Arabidopsis thaliana: one gene and its partners. The protein of the gene in region 3 interacts with the protein of the main gene of each other region in a pairwise test. Each region holds a gene or a part of one and is shown on either strand. Other genes may lie near its edges. The genes, in order: AAE3, AT1G33250, AT2G38510 and AT1G48870.

Evidence for each region.
Region 1: the proteins of AT2G38510 (region 3) and AAE3 interact in a protein complementation assay, tested with the Arabidopsis thaliana proteins (one large-scale study listed by BioGRID).
Region 2: the proteins of AT2G38510 (region 3) and AT1G33250 interact in a protein complementation assay, tested with the Arabidopsis thaliana proteins (one large-scale study listed by BioGRID).
Region 4: the proteins of AT2G38510 (region 3) and AT1G48870 interact in a protein complementation assay, tested with the Arabidopsis thaliana proteins (one large-scale study listed by BioGRID).

The regions. Positions count from the first base shown.
Region 1 is NC_003074.8:18,158,022-18,163,369, reverse strand, and holds AAE3 (AMP-dependent synthetase and ligase family protein), read left to right. Parts: upstream 1-1,883; 5' UTR 1,884-2,075; coding exon 2,076-2,279; intron 2,280-2,472; coding exon 2,473-3,150; intron 3,151-3,269; coding exon 3,270-3,639; intron 3,640-3,888; coding exon 3,889-3,992; intron 3,993-4,150; coding exon 4,151-4,339; 3' UTR 4,340-4,805; downstream 4,806-5,348. Other genes in the region: AT3G49000 (RNA polymerase III subunit RPC82 family protein), read right to left, coding at 1-75, 168-321, 396-467; AT3G48980 (O-glucosyltransferase rumi-like protein (DUF821)), read right to left, coding at 5,148-5,348. UniProt on the Arabidopsis thaliana protein: Oxalyl-CoA synthetase acting exclusively against oxalate. Follows a two-step reaction mechanism, wherein oxalate first undergoes adenylation by ATP, followed by a thioesterification in the presence of CoA to yield oxalyl-CoA.
Region 2 is NC_003070.9:12,056,661-12,061,399, forward strand, and holds AT1G33250 (beta-1,3-n-acetylglucosaminyltransferase radical fringe protein, putative (DUF604)), read right to left. Parts: upstream 3,133-4,739; 5' UTR 2,687-3,132; coding exon 1,706-2,686; intron 1,626-1,705; coding exon 1,074-1,625; intron 978-1,073; coding exon 864-977; 3' UTR 538-863; downstream 1-537.
Region 3 is NC_003071.7:16,122,264-16,126,079, forward strand, and holds AT2G38510 (MATE efflux family protein), read left to right. Parts: upstream 1-1,721; coding exon 1,722-3,182; 3' UTR 3,183-3,272; downstream 3,273-3,816.
Region 4 is NC_003070.9:18,071,610-18,078,041, forward strand, and holds AT1G48870 (Transducin/WD40 repeat-like superfamily protein), read right to left. Parts: upstream 4,797-6,432; 5' UTR 4,781-4,796; intron 3,644-4,780; exon of another isoform or gene 3,528-3,643; 5' UTR 3,163-3,527; intron 2,963-3,162; 5' UTR 2,849-2,962; coding exon 1,997-2,848; intron 1,903-1,996; coding exon 1,812-1,902; intron 1,719-1,811; coding exon 1,561-1,718; intron 1,478-1,560; coding exon 1,267-1,477; intron 1,186-1,266; coding exon 716-1,185; 3' UTR 514-715; downstream 1-513.

The DNA of each region.
Region 1 (5,348 bases), on a different chromosome or scaffold from region 3:
TGTTATACCTCACACGATGCAGAATGTTGTTAAACAACACAATATACTGTACAATAGCTTTGCTCTCAGAACCATCTACAAAGTAAAAAAAAAAAACATACAAAATTACTTTCATTGAGTTCTCTATTTCTGTGTGTTGCTACTAATCAAACAATATAGAGACTAACCAGGAGGTTCAATGGAGAAAGCTTGAACACAATTGTGCTGAATCAAGAGATAGAGAATATCTTTAACTTTGTTATGGTTGATATCTGATTCAGCTAAACGAGAGATGTCTCGTGAGGAAAGAGGTCCTTTACGTAGAAGACATTCACAAACTTTCTGCAACCAAAACCAAATTCGTTATACAGAGATTATAAATTCAACACAAGTCTCAGAAGGGTTTCTCAATTTACCGAGACGACGGAGCCGAATTGGACGGTGATGATATGGATGGCGTAGACAATGCCAAACTCAGACATAGACATGAGAATCAATCACCAGGAAGTCTCTCAATACTGATGAAGCAGCCTCTGCAGAGCTTGACGGAGTTATGGCCGATATAGAGATGTTTGCCAATCGATTGTAGCCTACTACTACTAAAAAGCGAAGCAATCGTAATCTAGCGACCCTAAAGTTTAATTTTTCCAGCGATCCACACGTTCGAATCCAAAATTTCGATAATCTAACATGAACCCACCAATATAAGTATAAGAAAACACCAACCCAGGGCTAGGGCTTTTGTTTTTTATAAGGACTCGGGCCGGCCTTAAATATTTAGCCCATTTTAACATCCCTAATTGTAGGTTATTAATTGTTGGCCTAGAGAAGTTTGGGCCTATCAGGCCCTAATAAATTGAATGTATGGTTTGACCCAAGAAAAAAAATTAGTGATGGAACGAAATGTACTTGAGAATTTTCAATGATTGGGCCAGATGACAATGCTCTACTTAAGAAGAACAAACACAAACCAAATTCTTCTATTGTATTTGTATGTGACGGCTTACATGAAGACCATGTTTTTACTTAGTTAGGAGAATGGAAAATGACTTTTTCAGCTTCATGAATATGACTTATATTTTAAAACACTGTCGTTTTCATCTATACGAGATTTTTGTATTTCTATTCATAATCATATACATAATTTTAATCTTTAACAAATAACAAGGTAAACTAAATCTTTGATTAGTAAATTCTACTCTGACTCTCTTCTAAGCTACGCATGTTTAGTGGTTTAAATTAGTTTCATTGTTGAATAATTATCCAAATCCACTATTGTTTAGTTAGATAGTGTGCATGTATCAAACCAAATAAAATAATATAATAATTTGTATGTATAGACAAAACAAAATTGATTACTTCAAAAAGATATATGTCTCATTATATTTAGTCTTCTACTTTTTTTCTATAAATAATATATTTATTCTTATCATTCAAAGTCATTTTTACCATTTCTTATTTTAATTTTACATTTTTACCTTGGTCAATTTAATTTATTAACAATCAAAATAAGGACGTTATCTTCTATTTATAATATAAAGTATAAACAACGTCAAGCATCTTCGAAACGTGATAATCCTAGTCAAAGACACATGTGCAAAGGCCCTAAAAGTGATTAAACACTCATAGGCTATTTTTTTAATGAAACTATTCTTTTGTTTGATAATACATACACAAACTATTTCAAATTCCTATGAAATAATTCATAAACCGTAAATTACTATCGCATGCTTGCCGAAAAAAAATATTTTCAAAAGTTAATTAACTAGCCGTTTCGGTTCAGTGTTTGTACCGGAATCGAAATTAAAAAAACCACCTCTTCAAAAACCGAAACGTCGGTCTAATCGTAAGGATATATATCAGCGACTCCCACCGTTAACAAAATAATTAAAAATGAAAACATTATGACCACACGATCAATAGAAAATCCGCTACGATGATAACACGTGGCATCATCTTTTAGCCATTTTTTGCTTCCACAGATACTGTAGTAATTGAATATAAATTTATAAATATCGCATTTGCTCTCTTCTCTGCTTTCACATTCTCTCCTTCCTCATCATCGTTACTCTCGTGTTTATCTCTCCGACGTAACCATGGATAGCGATACTCTCTCAGGATTATTGGAAAACGTCGCCAAAAAATTCCCCGATCGCCGAGCTCTCTCCGTTTCTGGAAAATTCAATCTCACTCACGCGCGTCTTCACGATCTAATCGAACGCGCCGCTTCACGCCTTGTCTCCGACGCTGGAATCAAACCCGGCGATGTCGTTGCTCTCACCTTCCCTAACACCGTCGAGGTATTTTAAGAGGTTTTCATATATTTCGATTTAAAAGCTTCGTTTCTGGTTTTGTTTTGCGTGCTGAAGAATCACATGGGAAGCAGAATTTATGAATATCTGTAAATCGCTTCTTAATTGAGAAATTTTGATTTCCGGATTCAGATGATTTTTTTGGATGAATTTGGTTTTGATTTTTTTTTTTTGTTTTCAGTTTGTTATAATGTTTTTAGCGGTGATAAGAGCTAGAGCCACGGCGGCGCCGTTGAACGCAGCGTACACGGCGGAGGAATTTGAGTTTTACCTCTCCGATTCAGATTCAAAGCTATTGTTAACCTCTAAAGAAGGAAACGCACCGGCTCAAGAAGCAGCTTCAAAGCTGAAAATCTCTCACGTCACCGCTACGCTGCTTGACGCTGGCTCGGACCTTGTACTATCCGTTGCGGATTCAGATTCCGTCGTTGACTCAGCGACGGAACTCGTTAATCACCCGGACGACGGTGCTCTCTTCCTCCACACTTCTGGCACTACGAGCCGTCCAAAGGGTGTACCGCTTACGCAGCTCAATCTAGCTTCATCCGTCAAGAACATTAAAGCTGTGTACAAGCTTACTGAGTCTGATTCTACGGTGATTGTTCTCCCTCTGTTCCATGTTCATGGATTGTTAGCTGGGTTGCTTAGCTCGCTTGGAGCTGGTGCTGCTGTAACTCTTCCAGCTGCTGGTAGATTCTCAGCAACAACATTTTGGCCAGATATGAAGAAGTATAACGCTACATGGTATACTGCTGTGCCGACCATTCATCAGATCATATTGGACCGCCACGCGAGCCACCCTGAGACGGAATATCCTAAACTCCGGTTCATCAGGAGTTGCAGTGCTTCTTTGGCTCCGGTAATGCTCTTGTTTCCAGTCAATTGTTGAGGCGTTTGTAATGCACAGTGTTTTGTAAAACGTTGGATTGCTTTGGCTTTCAATAACTTAATGACTTATTTTGTCTTGGTTTTTGTTAGGTGATATTGTCCAGGCTTGAGGAAGCGTTTGGAGCACCGGTGCTCGAGGCCTATGCAATGACAGAGGCAACACATTTGATGAGCTCAAACCCCTTACCAGAGGAAGGTCCACACAAGCCTGGGTCTGTTGGGAAACCGGTAGGTCAAGAAATGGCGATCCTTAATGAGAAAGGCGAGATCCAAGAGCCAAATAACAAAGGAGAGGTTTGTATAAGAGGTCCAAATGTGACCAAGGGTTACAAGAATAACCCAGAAGCCAACAAGGCAGGTTTCGAGTTTGGGTGGTTCCACACTGGTGATATCGGTTACTTTGATACCGATGGGTATTTGCATCTGGTGGGTCGGATCAAAGAGCTTATTAACCGTGGAGGTTAGTCTCATTTACTCTATTTTGATGGCTTTACTGTTTCACAAGAATACTAGTCTATGTCTAGCAGTTTATTTGTATAGTCTCGGTGGAGGCTACTTTGTGCAGTACTATGTTAGACTTGTCAAAGAAAACCCTCCAACAAATTAGAAATGAGACAAGACAAAGAAAGAGGCTACTTTGTGCAGTATCATGATCTTTTGTATGAATGAGTTAGATTTTCTATGTGTACTTAATTATAATCTATTTCAGGTGAGAAGATATCTCCAATTGAAGTGGATGCAGTACTCTTAACGCATCCTGACGTTTCTCAGGGTGTTGCATTCGGTGTTCCTGATGAGAAATATGGGGAAGAGGTAAACAAAACCTGTGCTTAAATTGTCTCTAATTTGAATTTATGAATTGGTCTCCCTTATCTACCATTATGTCCTGCAGAATCATCAAACATCATGTGAACTTACTTATCAATGAGCTGTTAATAACGCTGTGTTTCCCTGGTTTATTGGTTTATCAGATTAACTGTGCGGTGATTCCAAGAGAAGGAACTACTGTAACCGAAGAGGACATTAAAGCGTTTTGTAAGAAGAATTTGGCAGCTTTCAAGGTGCCAAAGAGAGTGTTCATCACTGATAACCTCCCCAAAACTGCCTCTGGTAAGATTCAGCGCCGTATCGTCGCACAACATTTCCTTGAGAAGCCCTGAAACACACAGAAAACACCATCTTGCTCGAAAATCATCGGTGATGAGTCCTAGTTTTCACTTTTCACGCAAATGGATATGCGTTCTCTATTATTGGTTCTTGGTTTAAAAGTTACTTTTTATATGTTTCATGGTGGTAAAGGTTATAGATTAAATCACAAAAGTGGAAATAAAAGTCGATAAGTGATTATTGAAGTACAACAATAAAGGAGAGTTTCTTTTTGTTGGTGTTGTCTCTGCGTCTTTTTGTTACTGATGCTCTTGATCTAATGGCCAATTTGACAACTAAAAGCGTACTGCCAAAACGGGTAAAGCCAAAGGACAAATATTACATTGTCACTTTTTAAAGCGTTTGGTTCGTTGAACAAACCGACCGTTTAGTGGGACAGGTAGACTTTCACTATGTCCCAAATTATGTTCCATTCCATGTTATAGCTAACTAATTCTGAACTTGAGCTCCAAATTTGAATTTTAAAGTTAACTTTTGTGATAGAAGAAAAAAAAAAAAAAAGTTAACTTTGTGATTTCAATATAGAACTCAATACGAGGATAAAACATTTACCATAAGGATTTTCCTAGATTCAGGCATAGTCATAGAGATATAAGATCAAACCGTACAAAACTTATTTACTTTTATTACCGATTAAAACTTTGTATCGTCGAATTCACTAGACAGAATGGATTAGTTAAAATTCTACCAAAAAAACGGAGAAGAAAATAAAGATCGCATGTTTTCTAATTTATACTACTCGATACAATTCTGACAAGTGCTTTTACTCTACACACCAAAACTTTATACGCCAATCTAATTTTACGAACCGGTCTTGTTCTGCTTCCTCCAGTACTTACTCTCCCACTGTTCGATTCTACTAGTCGTACTCTGTCTCCTTTTCAAAACTGAATAAAATGATGCCGGATCATACGGAGGCGGCATGGCGCAGGGACCTGTCTCAGCTGGGCGTTTTACGAGTGATTCCATCATAAACTTTCGTTCATTTCCATCCCTCGGGCA
Region 2 (4,739 bases), on a different chromosome or scaffold from region 3:
AACAAATTTATAGTTAAAATGGTCCAGCGATATTTTTTTTTGTAATTCCATGAATTTTCACACCCACGTAAAATCCATATTCCTCCTCTCACAAATATATCTACAATTTCAGTGGCAGCCAAATAAATAAATACCTCACAAAGTCAAAATCCAAAGAATTTACTTACACTACTAACTCACCAAAAATCTAACTCGGGGCTATTTTGATCATTGCATTAACTATATGACCCCCTTTAAATAGAAGCCATGATGCATCATAATGTCAATTTCAAGGCTTACGACAAAACAACTAGCAAAACCTGGGCTCACTTTGCCAGTGTGTCAGAGAGTTCATGACAAGTCAACTCACACCACAACACTCTTGATTTTAAACCCTTAGTTTTAGAACACACACACACATCTTAAAAATCTATCCAACCAAAGACCTTTCCTTAAATCCGCACTAAATCCACAATCCTATGGACCACTTACCTCACCCTCTACTAGTGGATATATTCTTCTTTAATATATTTAACCCACAAATATTTATGTGGCTATATCAAGATTGCCAATGTAGTAGATATGGAAAAAACAAAACAAAACCATTCTTACTTAACACACAGATGGATAGGTTTCACTGGTAAAGATTTGTTGTTGTACACATTACACTCGTTTCTCAACAGGAAATGTTGAGTTCGTGAAATCTCAGATGTACAAAAAAAGAAAGTGGAACATGGAACAAACAAAAGAGTGACAAATTCAATTTTGGGCATATTAGCATTCTAGGTCAGACAACAGTCAAGGTTCTGGATCTTACCTATGTACAAGTACAGGATAGAGCTGAAACAACATGCTTAGAGAGATCCAGTATTCACCATAAGTGTTCATTGAGAACTAATCGTGGAACCCAAAATTATCTTACCACACTGCCCAACTGTTAATCTGAGAGGCTCGTTAGTAGTAGTTGGGGTTGCTCTGCAACACAACCGTCTCGGCGCCTGTCGTTAAGAAGAGTGGAGAATCATCAATTAGCAAAATCATAAAGAAAATGACAGAAACATTAGGTGATAAAAAGATAAACAAGAAAACCTCACCAAGTGCCAATTTTTACTCAGAGGAAACCCTGAGACCTGGATTTTATCCACTTTGTGCAGAGGTAGAGAGCGTGGAAAACATAGAAGCTTCGTCTTCAAATCATCCTTTACCAAGGATCTTGAGTACGTTCCAAGTGTAGCATTACCTTCTTGGCCAACCTCTTTCAAGAAGAAGAGGATAGGCTTCTTACAGAGAGACGAAATTGGAAGCTTTATGTCAAGATCAAACTCACTGGGTTGACTTATCCCGTTCCAAGCAGAGAAAGAAAGTTCAGCTCGCTCAAGATCCCGTGGTAGGAGAATACTTGGGAAAACTTGTACAACATAACCAAGAGATATCGCAAATGTCAGTTTGTGAGTATGATCATAGCAGATCGATCGCTGCAAAACACTCCTAGGATCCAAACTCATAGCTCTTGTCAAGAGTTTCAAACTATCTAATGTAGATAATCCCGGATAGAGAGGATTAACAGCTTCAACGTGATGAATTGAGACAAATGGTGCAATAGGATGAGAGGACAAGAGACCATGAGCATTTCCCTTAATATCCCACTGTCACAAAAACCTAACATTAGCATTATCATCAGATTGAAGATCCAAGAGATCATAGAAGCAGAGATGATGAAACATACCTGGTGAAAGCCAGGCTCTCTGGACAAAGGAACTCCGAGTTCAGTGATGCAGGCGTGGAGACGATCATCACTACCGTATAGCTTCGGGTATCTATCGAGACAATCGTCGTGAATCCGGGAGAGAGCTTCCGCTAAAGGGTAGCTAATGGCAATGCCACCGCCTCCAAAAGCCATGTTATGACTAAAGTAAGAGTTAGCAGAGTGGCTCTCCGAGGGGTTTCCAATATAAACCATCTCCGAAGGATCATACTTGCTTAACACAGCAAGAAGATTATGAACATTGAAGATAGTATCATCATCACCAAGAACAAACCACCGAACATTAGGGAGAGAGAGACGAAAAGACTCCATAGCAATACGAGAGATTCGAAGTCCAGAAGGATGACCAGTAGGATTAGTGTAACGAAAACGAGAGCTGTCTTCAGAGACAATTATAGGAGGAAGAGAATCATCACCTTCCTCAGGAGAAACTTGCTCTTCAAGCCAGACATGTCCACGCATCTGAGAAGGTTTCCACCATAATCTCACAAGTTCCTTACGACGTTCCCAAAGCTGTGAAGATCCAGCAATACCAAACATCAAGTGATTCATAGACAGATCAAGTTTATCAATCTCTGAGAGACTACGATTTCTAAATTCATGATCGAATAACGGAAGAGCTGGAAGAGACGGCGGCGACGGCGGCGGCGGAGGAGGAGTTACAATTGGATGATGGTACCGTTTGTTCCAGAGATGATTGTCTTCCCAATCTTTAAGAAGATGCCAACAACGGGAAGTGGTTGGTGAGAAGACGAGAGAAAGCCAAGCGACGGAAGCGAGAAGAAGAGCGGAGGTAGCGACTAATGCGGTGGCGAAACGACTGAGACGACAAGGACGGATTCGAGGAGGAGGACGAGAGATTGGGGAAGAGCAAGGACGGTGAGGAGAAGATGAATAAAGGTAAGGAATGAATGAGCACATGACGGTGAGAATTAAACGCATCGCCCCAAGCGCACATTTCCGCCGCCGGGCGACGCAGAACGGCGGCGAACCAAGTTTCCGTTTAAATTAGGGCACAGGGTTTCGATCGCCACCGTCGTCTCGTTTTTTTCTCTCTCTCTTCTTCTTCCTTTCGCCGTCGCTTTGACTTTTCAGGGGTTTGATTTTGATTTTTCAAAATTTAGGGGCGGATTTTGGTAAGAAAAGTTTTTGCCTCGGTGAATGGGCTTAGATCTAATTTAGGCTTGTAGTAATCGGGCCTAATATGGGCCCAGTATGGTACAAAAGATTCTCAAACATCACAGTCCGGTGACCCCAATTTATGTACACTTCAGTTCCCAGGTGGCATTTGGTTGTACTATCGGAAAGCCCAACAACCGTCACTGTCATGTCAGAATTCAGATTCGTTATCCCATCTTTATTATCCTTTTTGTTTTTATTTAACTTTGAAAGATGACTACTTTTTTTCGAAGAAACGCTTTTATTTCTAAATTCTTCTAGTATCATTATTGATGGTTTCTTAAAACAATTATTAAGTTAAGAGACATGTCTTATAATAGCTTATAACTAACAAAAGTCTCTTAAAACACTTTTGTTAGATATAAGATATATCTCTTAACTAAGAGTTATGTTAAGAGACCATCAATAAGGATAGTCTAACGTTTATTATGAAAACATATAAAAACCTACGATTTCAGGGTATTAGAATCCGTCAAATCTGTTTATAACTTTTTGAACTTTAAGTTATGTTGTTTCAAGAATATAGATACAGATCAATAAACATAAAATATATGTTCACTTAACTGAATAAGTAACAAATAGAAAAACCAATTTTTACAGAACTGAAAACTTACTTTAGGATTTTTTCTCCTTCTAGTAAAAACAACGTATAAATAGCCTCTACAATAATATACAAAGCTTTCTATAGGTTTCTATTTTTACATGATACAATTGTAGATCTCTGTTTTAACACCGTAAAGAGATTCTATTAAACTCTACTTTGAAATTCTTACAAATTGATTAGAAAAAAAAGAAGATGAGAATCTCAATTTTTCTCTCATTTACTTCTTTTGTATTGTTCTTCTTTCTTGTTTCTCTTTCTCTTTGTCTCTACATCGTCACGTTTTTATACATTATTTAAACGATGTTTGATCTAAAAAATGTTTCTTATCTCGGTCGGTATTTTTCTAATCGATATAAATGTAACTAAAAAACATAATGTATTTTGCACAAGTAGAAGAAGATTTACATAAACACAAATGTTCATGTAAATAAACACCAATAAATTAGCATGTAATTTTATACATAGAAAAAATGTTTAAAAATCACAAAAAAACGAAAAATAATATAAAGTTTGGATGCATAATTTTTATTGTGTTTATTTATGAGAACTCGTGTTCGAGTACATTTTTGCGTTTATTGTAATGATCATTTGTTATTGTACACAGATTGTATTACAAATTAGTGACCAACATGGAGTGTTTGTTTCCCCATCCTCATCTCCCTCTGCCACGATATAGCTATAGCTAGCGATTGTTTGTGATCTTCAATGAATGGTTTTAGCCCTATACAAAATTATAAAGGTTGGCTGAATTCTATAATCGGACTACTCATCGAGTTTATATCACTAGGGGTAGTAAATTTATCAAACAACCTAATGTAACATGATATACATATTATTAGCCGATGACGGTATGACATATAAAAACCTAGTTACTCATGTTAATTTCAGATTTTTTTTTTCTACTTCTTGATTTAGAATTCAATGAGTTAATTCCCCACATTAAACAATACATCGGTATTTCCGAAAAATAACTCTGCTCACCTACTCGTTGTTGTCTTATAAATTTATTTCTCGCAACTCATAAAAAGGACCGCACAAATTACGATGAGAAATGTATGTGAAGAATGATATAATTAGAGAAATCATAGCATTGAATTGTTAATATCACATTAAATTAAAATGTAGCATGAAAAATGCGTCGGTGAGTGGTTGGGTATATTGGGGTCAATTTCAAGAGAAATTTGTGTATGTACACACAAATGTACAATACTC
Region 3 (3,816 bases):
ATAAATGGAGAATGCGATGTTTCAACATCCGTCAAAGGAGAAAATAGCGGCAGCGCCAAATTCTCTGCTGGTCTCCGTCGCATCCCTTTCAATGAGGCTTGTTTCTTTTTCTTTAATTTCTCTTTTCTTGTTCTTACATTTTCTTCAACAAAAAAATTCCAATTAGCTTTGACAAGTCATCACTCTGCTTATTCTTTGATTTCATAGTTTTCTTGTGTTTTTGTTTGTACTACTAGTTTTCGTGATCAGGACCATCCTAATATAGAGACGTTTGCTACGTTTAACCAGAGAATTTGGTGATTTTTGATGGATTATTATATTGTTTTCAGTCACTTTCGCAGTATTTTTTGGGTCTGGTAAATAATATGTAGTTCTTGGAAATTGATCTTATACTGGATTGAATGCTTCTTTTGACTGTTTTTATAGCATTTTAACCGAATATAATGCATCCCTTTTAAAAACATAGCATGAATAATGCTTCATCTATCTTTCACGTACTTGAGAAATACAATGTTGAAAATTCATTTATATATAAGTTTTCTCTGTATATATATATATATATATATATGTGTATATATGTTCATATTTATGCCTAAAGCGTTACTACTTACTACTAGTATGATAAATCCTCACTTTCATGGACTGAAAGAGATGCTTTTTGTGTTGTACTTACTTTATATTTCTTGACAGTTGGGTTGTACTTACTTAGGAAAGTGTTCTATATAGGTTTCCTCTCACTCTATTCTTTTTATCAGTTTCTTTACTTAGTACAAATATAATCTAGTTACTTTCCGATTTATTTTCTTGAAATCCTTATCCGATTGTTTATGAAATGTCAATAGTAGTTCATGATACTTTTACAAGTATCTATGCGTAAAATATTTTTTATATGTTTTTAAAATGTGGATATTCTTAATGAAGATATCATGAAATGAAAGGTAATATCTAAGCTGATTTTGTTTTTTCAAAAAGAAAACAAAAAAGGTGAGCTTTTAAAAACCCATGATGATTTTTATTTAAAAAGATCCTAGAATGTTGGTACAGTTAGCCATTCGCTTTTCTGGCACTTGTGAATTTGATTATATATTCAGTTCTAAAAGTTATAGAGTTTAAACCTTTTTCTCTTCCTTTTTCAACTTTCTCATCCCAGTCCCAGTGGCCATGTGATGCGACCATCTTCCTCGTGCTTACAAATTGTTCTTAATTTTATAATATGATAAAATATCATTTTCCGTATTGTAATGTAATGTCCTTCTGTTTCACAATAAAATTAATTTAAGATTTTATTTGACAAAAAGAAACAATTAAGGTACAATGATTTTTTTAATAACTCATGTATAAAAAGCTCATATAAATACCATTTTCATACAACTTATTAGAAAAGAAATTTGTTTGTTTATTGTGATAAAAATATTAATAAATGATATACCAGAAAATTTAATATTTTTAGTGAGTGCAATATCGTTAATTAAACGAAATTAAATCACGTACAAAATATTAAACATGATTAAAAAAGGATATTAAAGACTAAATCATATTTTGAGGATAATTTTTTTTTTTTTAATATACAACATACTCGTGTTGCGCTCTTTCTATACACTAATATCTTCTCGAGTGCGTTTTGCTAGAACTAGAAGCCTATAGAACATGTGAAAAAATAAAGAGTTGTTCAATTGAAAAACCTAACAAAAATAACATAATTTTTTAATTTTATTTTTCCCATGCAGGTGGGAGAGGAGATGGCGTCACTCACAAAAATAGCTTGCCCGATTGTGATGACATCACTCCTCATATTCTCAAGATCAATAATCTCAATGTGGTTCTTGAGTCATCTCGGAAAAGTCGAACTCGCTGGTGGTGCACTCGCTATGGGCTTTGGAAACATCACTGGAGTCTCCGTACTTAAAGGCCTTTCCGTTGGTATGGACCCAATCTGTGGCCAAGCCTTCGGAGCCAAACGTTGGACCGTACTTAGCCACACGTTTCAGAAAATGTTCTGTCTCTTAATTGTCGTCTCTGTTCCAATCGCCGTTACGTGGCTCAACATCGAACCCATTTTCCTACGGTTGGGTCAGGACCCAGATATTACCAAGGTAGCCAAAACCTATATGCTCTTCTTCGTCCCTGAGCTCTTGGCTCAGGCCATGCTCCATCCGCTTCGAACGTTCCTTAGAACGCAAGGCTTAACATCACCGCTCACGATATCTGCCATTGTATCCATTCTTCTTCATCCTCTCTTCAACTACGTCTTTGTCGTGCGTATGCGTTTAGGCGTTAAGGGTGTGGCCATCGCAATGGCTTTCAACACTATGAATATCGACGTGGGACTGCTCGTTTATACGTGCTTCTCGGATTCTCTAATCAAACCGTGGGAAGGGCTCGCTTTGCGGTCACTTTTCCGCGGCTGGTGGCCGCTGCTTTCTCTAGCCGCACCAAGCGCTATCTCGGTGTGTTTGGAGTATTGGTGGTATGAGATCATGCTTTTTCTTTGTGGGCTTCTTGGGAACCCTAAAGCAAGCGTGGCCGCCATGGGAATATTGATTCAGACCACCGGGATACTATACGTAGTCCCGTTTGCTATTAGCAGCGCCATTGCAACCCGTGTAGGTCACGCTCTTGGAGGCGGCCAACCAACACGGGCACAATGTACGACCGTGATTGGCTTGATACTCGCGGTAGCGTACGGTTTAGCAGCTGCTGTTTTTGTGACCGCGCTTAGGTCGGTTTGGGGAAAGATGTTCACGGACGAACCGGAGATTCTCGGGCTTATTTCGGCTGCGCTTCCGATCTTGGGGCTTTGCGAGATTGGAAACTCGCCACAGACGGCTGCTTGCGGAGTCTTGACTGGGACGGCTAGGCCTAAAGATGGAGCACGCGTTAACCTATGCGCATTCTACATTGTGGGCTTGCCTGTGGCAGTTACGACCACGTTTGGGTTTAAGGTTGGGTTTCGTGGGCTATGGTTTGGACTGTTATCTGCGCAGATGACGTGTTTGGTAATGATGCTTTATACGTTAATCCGTACGGACTGGTCTCATCAAGTGAAGCGGGCAGAGGAACTTACCTCCGCTGCAGCCGACAAAAGCCATTCGGAAGACGAAACCGTCCATGCTGAAGTACAAGACGATGATGATGTGAGTAGCAATGATCTGGAGATTGGTTTACTACAAAATACGAATTGACTAGTTTAGCTAGAAATGTTAAAATTATCAATCGACAATTTTTAACGGATTGTTAATGATATAGGAAACTTTTTTTTTTTGGCAAACTAAAAATACCGAAGATAGATTTGTGTCCGAACTGTTAACTAAGATTTTGTGAAAAGACTCAGCCATTTAATTGGTTGAGCTTAGCTTTTTCTAACACGCAGAAGTATGTAGTGAGAACAGTTGTGACGAATCTATCAAGGATCAATCAAGATCAATCACAATTCTACTTATGTAAACTATATATTCTGTAATTAGAAGTCTCTAGAACATCTAGTCTGTATATAAACAATGTAAATCATCTCAATACAAATCATCCAATTCTATATTCTTTATATGGTATCAGAGCATCATCGATACCTAAAAATAAAAAACCTAAAAACAGCCGCCTCTCTCCTTTCTTTCTTCTTCTCCCCCGTTGATTTTTTTATTCCTCTGTTTTTCAAACTTCAACCATGTCGAATGTTTCTTCTGAAACCGTCAACCTCAACAACACCTCCATTGTTCACATGAACATGTCGAATGTGACAAAACTTACGGCCTCCAATTACATAATGTGGAGCCGCCAAGTCCACGCTCTCCTTCACGGCTACGGTCTCACTCAATACCT
Region 4 (6,432 bases), on a different chromosome or scaffold from region 3:
TTTTCAAGCTTAAGACCCAAAATCGCAATCGCTTGAGGTTTCTTAAACCAAGTTCTTGTCTTCCACTTTCAGGCATATGTTAGCAAAGTTAAAAAGAGCCAACTTAAACTGGAATCCCATTGTTTCTCTAAATACAAAAGTCACCATAAAAACTTCTACTTCTCGTTTGAGGTAGGTGAAGATCAGGCAAACTAATGTTTACTTCTTGGTCTTCAGTAGTGTGTAGATATAGATATTCCACATAGATTTTATCAAGCAACAGAAGAAAATTTGTTTTTGTTGGATTTAATAATTTAGCAGAGGAATGGGAAAATGAAGAAAACGACTACAAGTCTGTCTACAACGAAGCTGCATCAATATAATCCTGTTTTCTCCATAATTTGTATATGTTTGCTATCTGTAAAAAGACCAAGATTTTACCCATTTTTCAAGAGGGCCCATTAAAAAAAGAATCATCTTTGAGCTTTGAAGCAAAACGGAGTCATTTTCTTGGAGATAAAATGAACTAGTATGGACTAAAATGAAGTAGGAGAGAGTCGCTCTAGCAGTTGCAGCATAATCTTATCTGACTAAATTGGCATTGAGCCATCGAGGAACTTGGAAGCGAAGGACTAGAAACTAGAAAATCTACATATATTTAGACACCAAAACAAAAACCAAACAAAAAATCAATTTTTGTTTTCTCCTATTTAAAACAAAAATAGATTATCGATCTCTAAAATGTACGTGGCAGTCCATAGTTATGGAATGTCCTAATCATCCCATCCAAGCTCACGGTCACGATCACCAGTCTCCACGCCTCGGCAAGATCAAACTCGCCGACGGGAAGGTTACTATCGTAACTTCCTACATTCATAAGGAGCTTCTCCTCCGGCCACGTGGCGGTAACACGACAGGAGCGAGACAATCTCCCAGAGCTCTGTATTTTTCTCATAACGCGCCGTGATTCTTCATCATCACCGGCTACTTTCGACACTTTTGTTTCCGGTTGAGTCCAAGCCGCCACCGCGGAAACCCCCGGCGAATGAAAATACTCGAAAGAACGCGACGATTTTGCGCCTTTCCTCGAAGGAAACGCATCGTTGTTCCAGAGATAAACTCCGACACCTCGTCTAACTGATAAAATATGTTTTCCGGTGGAAGAAACAAACGACGCCGACGATTGTCTCCCAAAATTCGATGGAGCTGAATTTTTTTATAAAAAAAATAATCAAAACACAGATTTCAAGAAGTGTAAAATCAAGATTCAAAGATTTTTTTTTATACCTTTGAATTTGTGAATCATTTGTGTTTTGTCAAATATTCGAACTTTCGAATCTTCAGAAGATACTAAAATTTTCTCGGAGCTTCCAGGACAAAACTCCACGGCGGTGATTCTATTCCTTCCCCGGATAAGAATCTGTTCATCCATTATCACATCGTTATCTAAGATTTGATAGAACCTACAGTTCCCAGTGATGCAACCAACAACAAACCCCTGAAGCAAAAACAGAGCAAAGTTGAGTTTTTTTAGAAAGGATGATCTTTTGAGTAGAGAATAGACAGAGAATGTCAAATTACATTTCCGTTTGGTTGGTAAGAGATTGCAGAAATGGAATCACGAACATCGGTCCAAGCGACAACTCTTTCTTCTGACAAACCCCAGATTCGAGCTTTTCCATCTATAGACCCACTTGCGAAGTTGTTCTTATTTACAGGATTGAATTCAACGCAAGTCACTGTATTTGAAAGACAAAAGCAACATGAGTGAGTTAACAAACGTTTTTGCAAAGATTTCAGAACAAACAACTTGAGATGCAAAAAATACTTACCGTAGTTGTTATGATGGAAGACATGAAGACATTGATCACAACCAGTTCTCCATAACCGAACTGTCTTGTCTTTAGAAGCTGAAAGAAGCAACTGCAAAGCCAAATCACCAAAGACAACAGATTTTATAAGTAATGAATCAACAAATCTCAAAAACAAGAAAAGAAAAACAAAGTAATAAACTCACATTTGAGTCTGACCATGCTAAGTCCAAGACATCTCCGGTATGACCATAAAGTTCTTGAAACGGTGTTTCTTCGATATGAAAAGCTTTCTGAGGAAACAGAACCAATGCTGCTTGTTGGTTTATTGGTTCTTGTTGTCGAAGAAAAGAGGCGAGTAGAGAATCCGATAGCGTGATTCGCCATATCTTTACAACTCCATCTTCGCCTCCGGTTGCTAAGTATTTACCATCAGGACTAAACTTTAATGTCCAAATTTTCCCTTTGTGTCCATTAATCTTTTGTACCATGTAAGCTGCAGATAACTCTACATGACTCTTCTTGTTAGTCTTCACTTTCACTTTGCTCATTGTCTCTTCACTTGATTTGTATTTGAAATCTTTATCCTTCACTCCTGCTGAAAAGCAATTGAACAACCATTTTTTCGCGCTTTTCTTGCTGGAACTCCGCGATGGACTGGTGGAAGCATTACTTGAGATTTCTTCTGAATCATCATCATCATCATCCACTCCTTCTAGTTCCTCATCAGAGATTGAAGTAGTTGATCCATAGTTCTCCTCTCTAACACAACACTGCAATCCACTATCACAGAGAGATGAATCTGAAGAAGAACTAGTAACCTCATCACTGTAATCGCTTACCATCCTCTCCAGACACCTCTCTTCTAATAAACCCATTTTCTTGAGAAACCGTACACGACGTTCCTCAACACTAATTGGCTCACCAGACCAAACTTGAAACTCTGCTTCTTCTACTTCTTCTTCTTCTACTACTACTTGTTCACCAATAGACAAAACATCAGATGAATCAAAGAACAAATCATCAACAACAACTTCACTTCTTCCCACACTCATCATTTCAATCACAACTTCCACCAAAAACTAAAAAGCTTCCTCCTTTTTCTTATATAAACCTTCTTCTTGTAGCCTCAACGCGGTTCACGGACCGTAAATCCCTCAAATGTTTAAAACCTAACAAAGAGTGCGAAAAACCAAATCTTCCATTAGTAAACAACAACAAAACTAACCCGACTCAATTCTCTGAACTTACATTAATCACAAAATATGAAAAACCCACACATCTCTTAAACTAATCGATTAAACAAAAAAAGACGGTTCCTGAAACTCAGGAAGTGAATAGAATAATCAAAAGTCTGGATAAAAGTTCGTACCTTTGTCTAGTTAAGAAGCAATGATCCACAACAAGAAGTCAAATTCTGATAGCCGACGAGGAATTAGGTCTCGGGTTTGATTTGATTTTTCTTCAAACCAAAGCAAGATTTGTTATTTCAAGTTTCTTCTCCGTGTGATTAAGGAAGATATAAAAACCAGACAAAACATTTACGTTATGTCTCAGAGAGAGAGTGGTTGGGTGCATCAATGGCGGCCCAATGAGAATCTCTGAGATCTTTTTGACGGCGAAGTGGCCGCGATTCAGGAGACAGGAGACAATTAAAACTTTCTTACTCCCGACCAATCTCTCAGACTCTCTTTTACTGTTGTCTTTTGTTTTCGTGCTTTTTGGGCTTATGTCTCTCTGCAACAACGGCGATTTAATATAAAATAAAAAAGAGTTTGGATCAGAATCATGTTTAGTGCTACGCAGAACTAACGAAAATACACGATTGTCGACAAAACCCAGATTAAGTAAATTACCCTTGAATTTCGAAAATTCTTTCTGACAATAGTTTTTCTTAGCTGCTTACACACAAACAATAGTGTTATTTTCTTGAATGCACTTTAATATTTTCTTAAAATACTTTTTTTAAAAATAATTGGCAAATTATTAACCTAAAGTTTTACCATTCATGATCATCTTTGGGTAAGGCAGTGAATTAATTGTGGTTGTGAAAATTTACCGTAGTGTAAAAAGACATTTCATTTTCACGGAAGATTCCTACCTTTATTTCTCCTGACATTGCTTTGTCTTATTTTAAACAAATGAGTAAATATGCTTTTCTACTTTTTCCATTTTGTAAGCTATGTATTCTAATTTCTAATTAAATGAATTTTCATAATTTATATATAGGTAAATTTTAATTTTGTCTACCAATATTTTCTTGTTTGAATAGAATTCCAAAAATACTATTTGTTTAAATCCTTCCACAGATTAGGGAGATTTTATTATGACCGAATCATCATATATCCAGAGACCATTAAAATTGCTACATTTGGGGCCAGAATTTATCCAGAATGTAACAAGACCGGAAAGGTTTAAATTTTAGATGTGACCAAAAAAAAAGTTTAAAATTTTAGTTTTGAACGTTTAAAAAACAGATTTTGTGGTTCGTTTGAAAGAGTATTTAGAACGAAAAAATACATAAATTAAAGCTATATTTATAAAGTTTTCATATTAAGTACGATGAATAAGAATAATAAGAAATGGTATTTTATATATATATATATATATAGTAGGTGATATTAAATATGCGGTCGTATTGTATCTCAACATCCAATAAGTTTTACCATACATTCACCAGTTAATTTTTGTTAACTACTTGTTGTAAGTTCATTTATATATTTCGCTATGTAATGGCAATGAGAAAATGGCAGTAGTTAATTTCTTGTGTCATAAGTGTATACAACAAAGAAGGTTCGTATTCAGACTTATTTACGTAGTTACATTTTGATAACAGCAATTTAATTAAGTTTAACCTGCTTCTTTAGAACGTATAAAAGTTAGAACTATAAAGCATCATTTTATACAATCATCTGTATATTGAAACGAAAAAAACAAGAATCTGAGTAACTATGCAAACTATAGTACAATATATGTGTAAGAACACGAACCAGTAATCTTGACTGCAGTTTTGGACTCGAACTAGCTTGATATGCAACTATGGCGGAATCTTCAAATTTTGAAGGTGAGAGATATAGAGAGAGAGATCTCATATAATATAATGTAGCATTAGTGGTCGACGATGTGTGCTTATATATATAGTTATTTGTATATTACTATAGTGTATATTATTTTATTTTTCTCAAAAATATTCATAAATGATAACGTGGATATACATTATAGTATATAATTACAAAAATTTTACAATAACCAAACAGATTATTCGATTGCATTTTAAAATTATTGAAACTTTGGTTTAAGAGAAAATGATATAATTATTGAAACTGATTATGACAACTATTTCTTCCCCAGCTTGTAGGACGCATAATCTTCTCTATTTTTTTTATTTTTATTTTTATTTTTTTAATCTTCTCTATTTATGTTCAGACATTAAGAATACACAAAATGTTATCTGCATAATACAAATCTACCAAATGATTCATTGGATGCAAATTATAAATTAATAAAAAGTTTATGAAGTAACATAATGCGACAACTCGCTACCTTTTTATTTTTGTGATTTGAGAACCATTGGATGATATTGTTCGAATCTCAAGAGATTTGATTGGTCAAAGTACGCACGTAATTTGGTAACCAATTAATAATTGATAAAAACAAAATCTGCAACTTGTTTTTGTTATACAGTACCAAACCTAACTCGTATCTTCGTCATGATAATGTGATTCATGCAAATAATTGAACCATGAAGCAAATGAGTATATTCAGTTATAAAAATAAAAAGCTGATTTATTAGTTTAGTACAGACTAATGGTGGATAACTCCTGAACGTGGAATGTTTCAAATTGGTGAACTTTTTCTTTTTGCTTAATTATTATTTTAAACTACGAAAAAGTGTATAAATGGGAGAGTGTTGACAACGTTATACATTTCATTCGTAAGTTGAGTACTCTACACGCATCGTCTCCAATTTCAAAGAGCTTATGTATTCTTGCTTCGTGTCTTTATGTGGTTGAGTTTGAATTCGTGATGGATATATATTCAATGATACGTGGTTGTATTCGGATTTGTCATGGAAATAACTAGCTAGTTTTATATTCAGTGATACGAAACTAGTTAGAAATAGTGGTTCATCGATGTACGTAGTAATGTGAGTTCATCTTTCCACGAAGCCTAAAATAGGCTCCTACTCATTAATACTATCTTGATGCCAAAAAAGGCACTACGACTAATTGTACCATAGATGACAAAAAAAAAGAAGAAGACTAATTGTACCATATAAGATAAACTAAAGTATTTAGGAGGAAAAAAACTATTAGCTACTGTCTCGAGTCCCATGCAATTGCTGGGTTTTGTTGACTTTTCCGTGGACCGGTCAATTCTGTATATACACCATAAGTCCATAGGTTTATCTCTAACAGTTTAAAACATAAAAACGAATTTACTTCTTTTTTTTTTGTTGAATTTACACAAACATATAAATATATTATAGACGAATAATCGAGTATTATAATTATTTAGACTAAAATTATTACTCATTTATACGAATTAGTTAGCAAAATATGTTATTTATTATATCCAAAAAATATATGTGATTTAACTTAGACAAATCATGTAACGTTAGACGAATTTAACTTACCAAAAA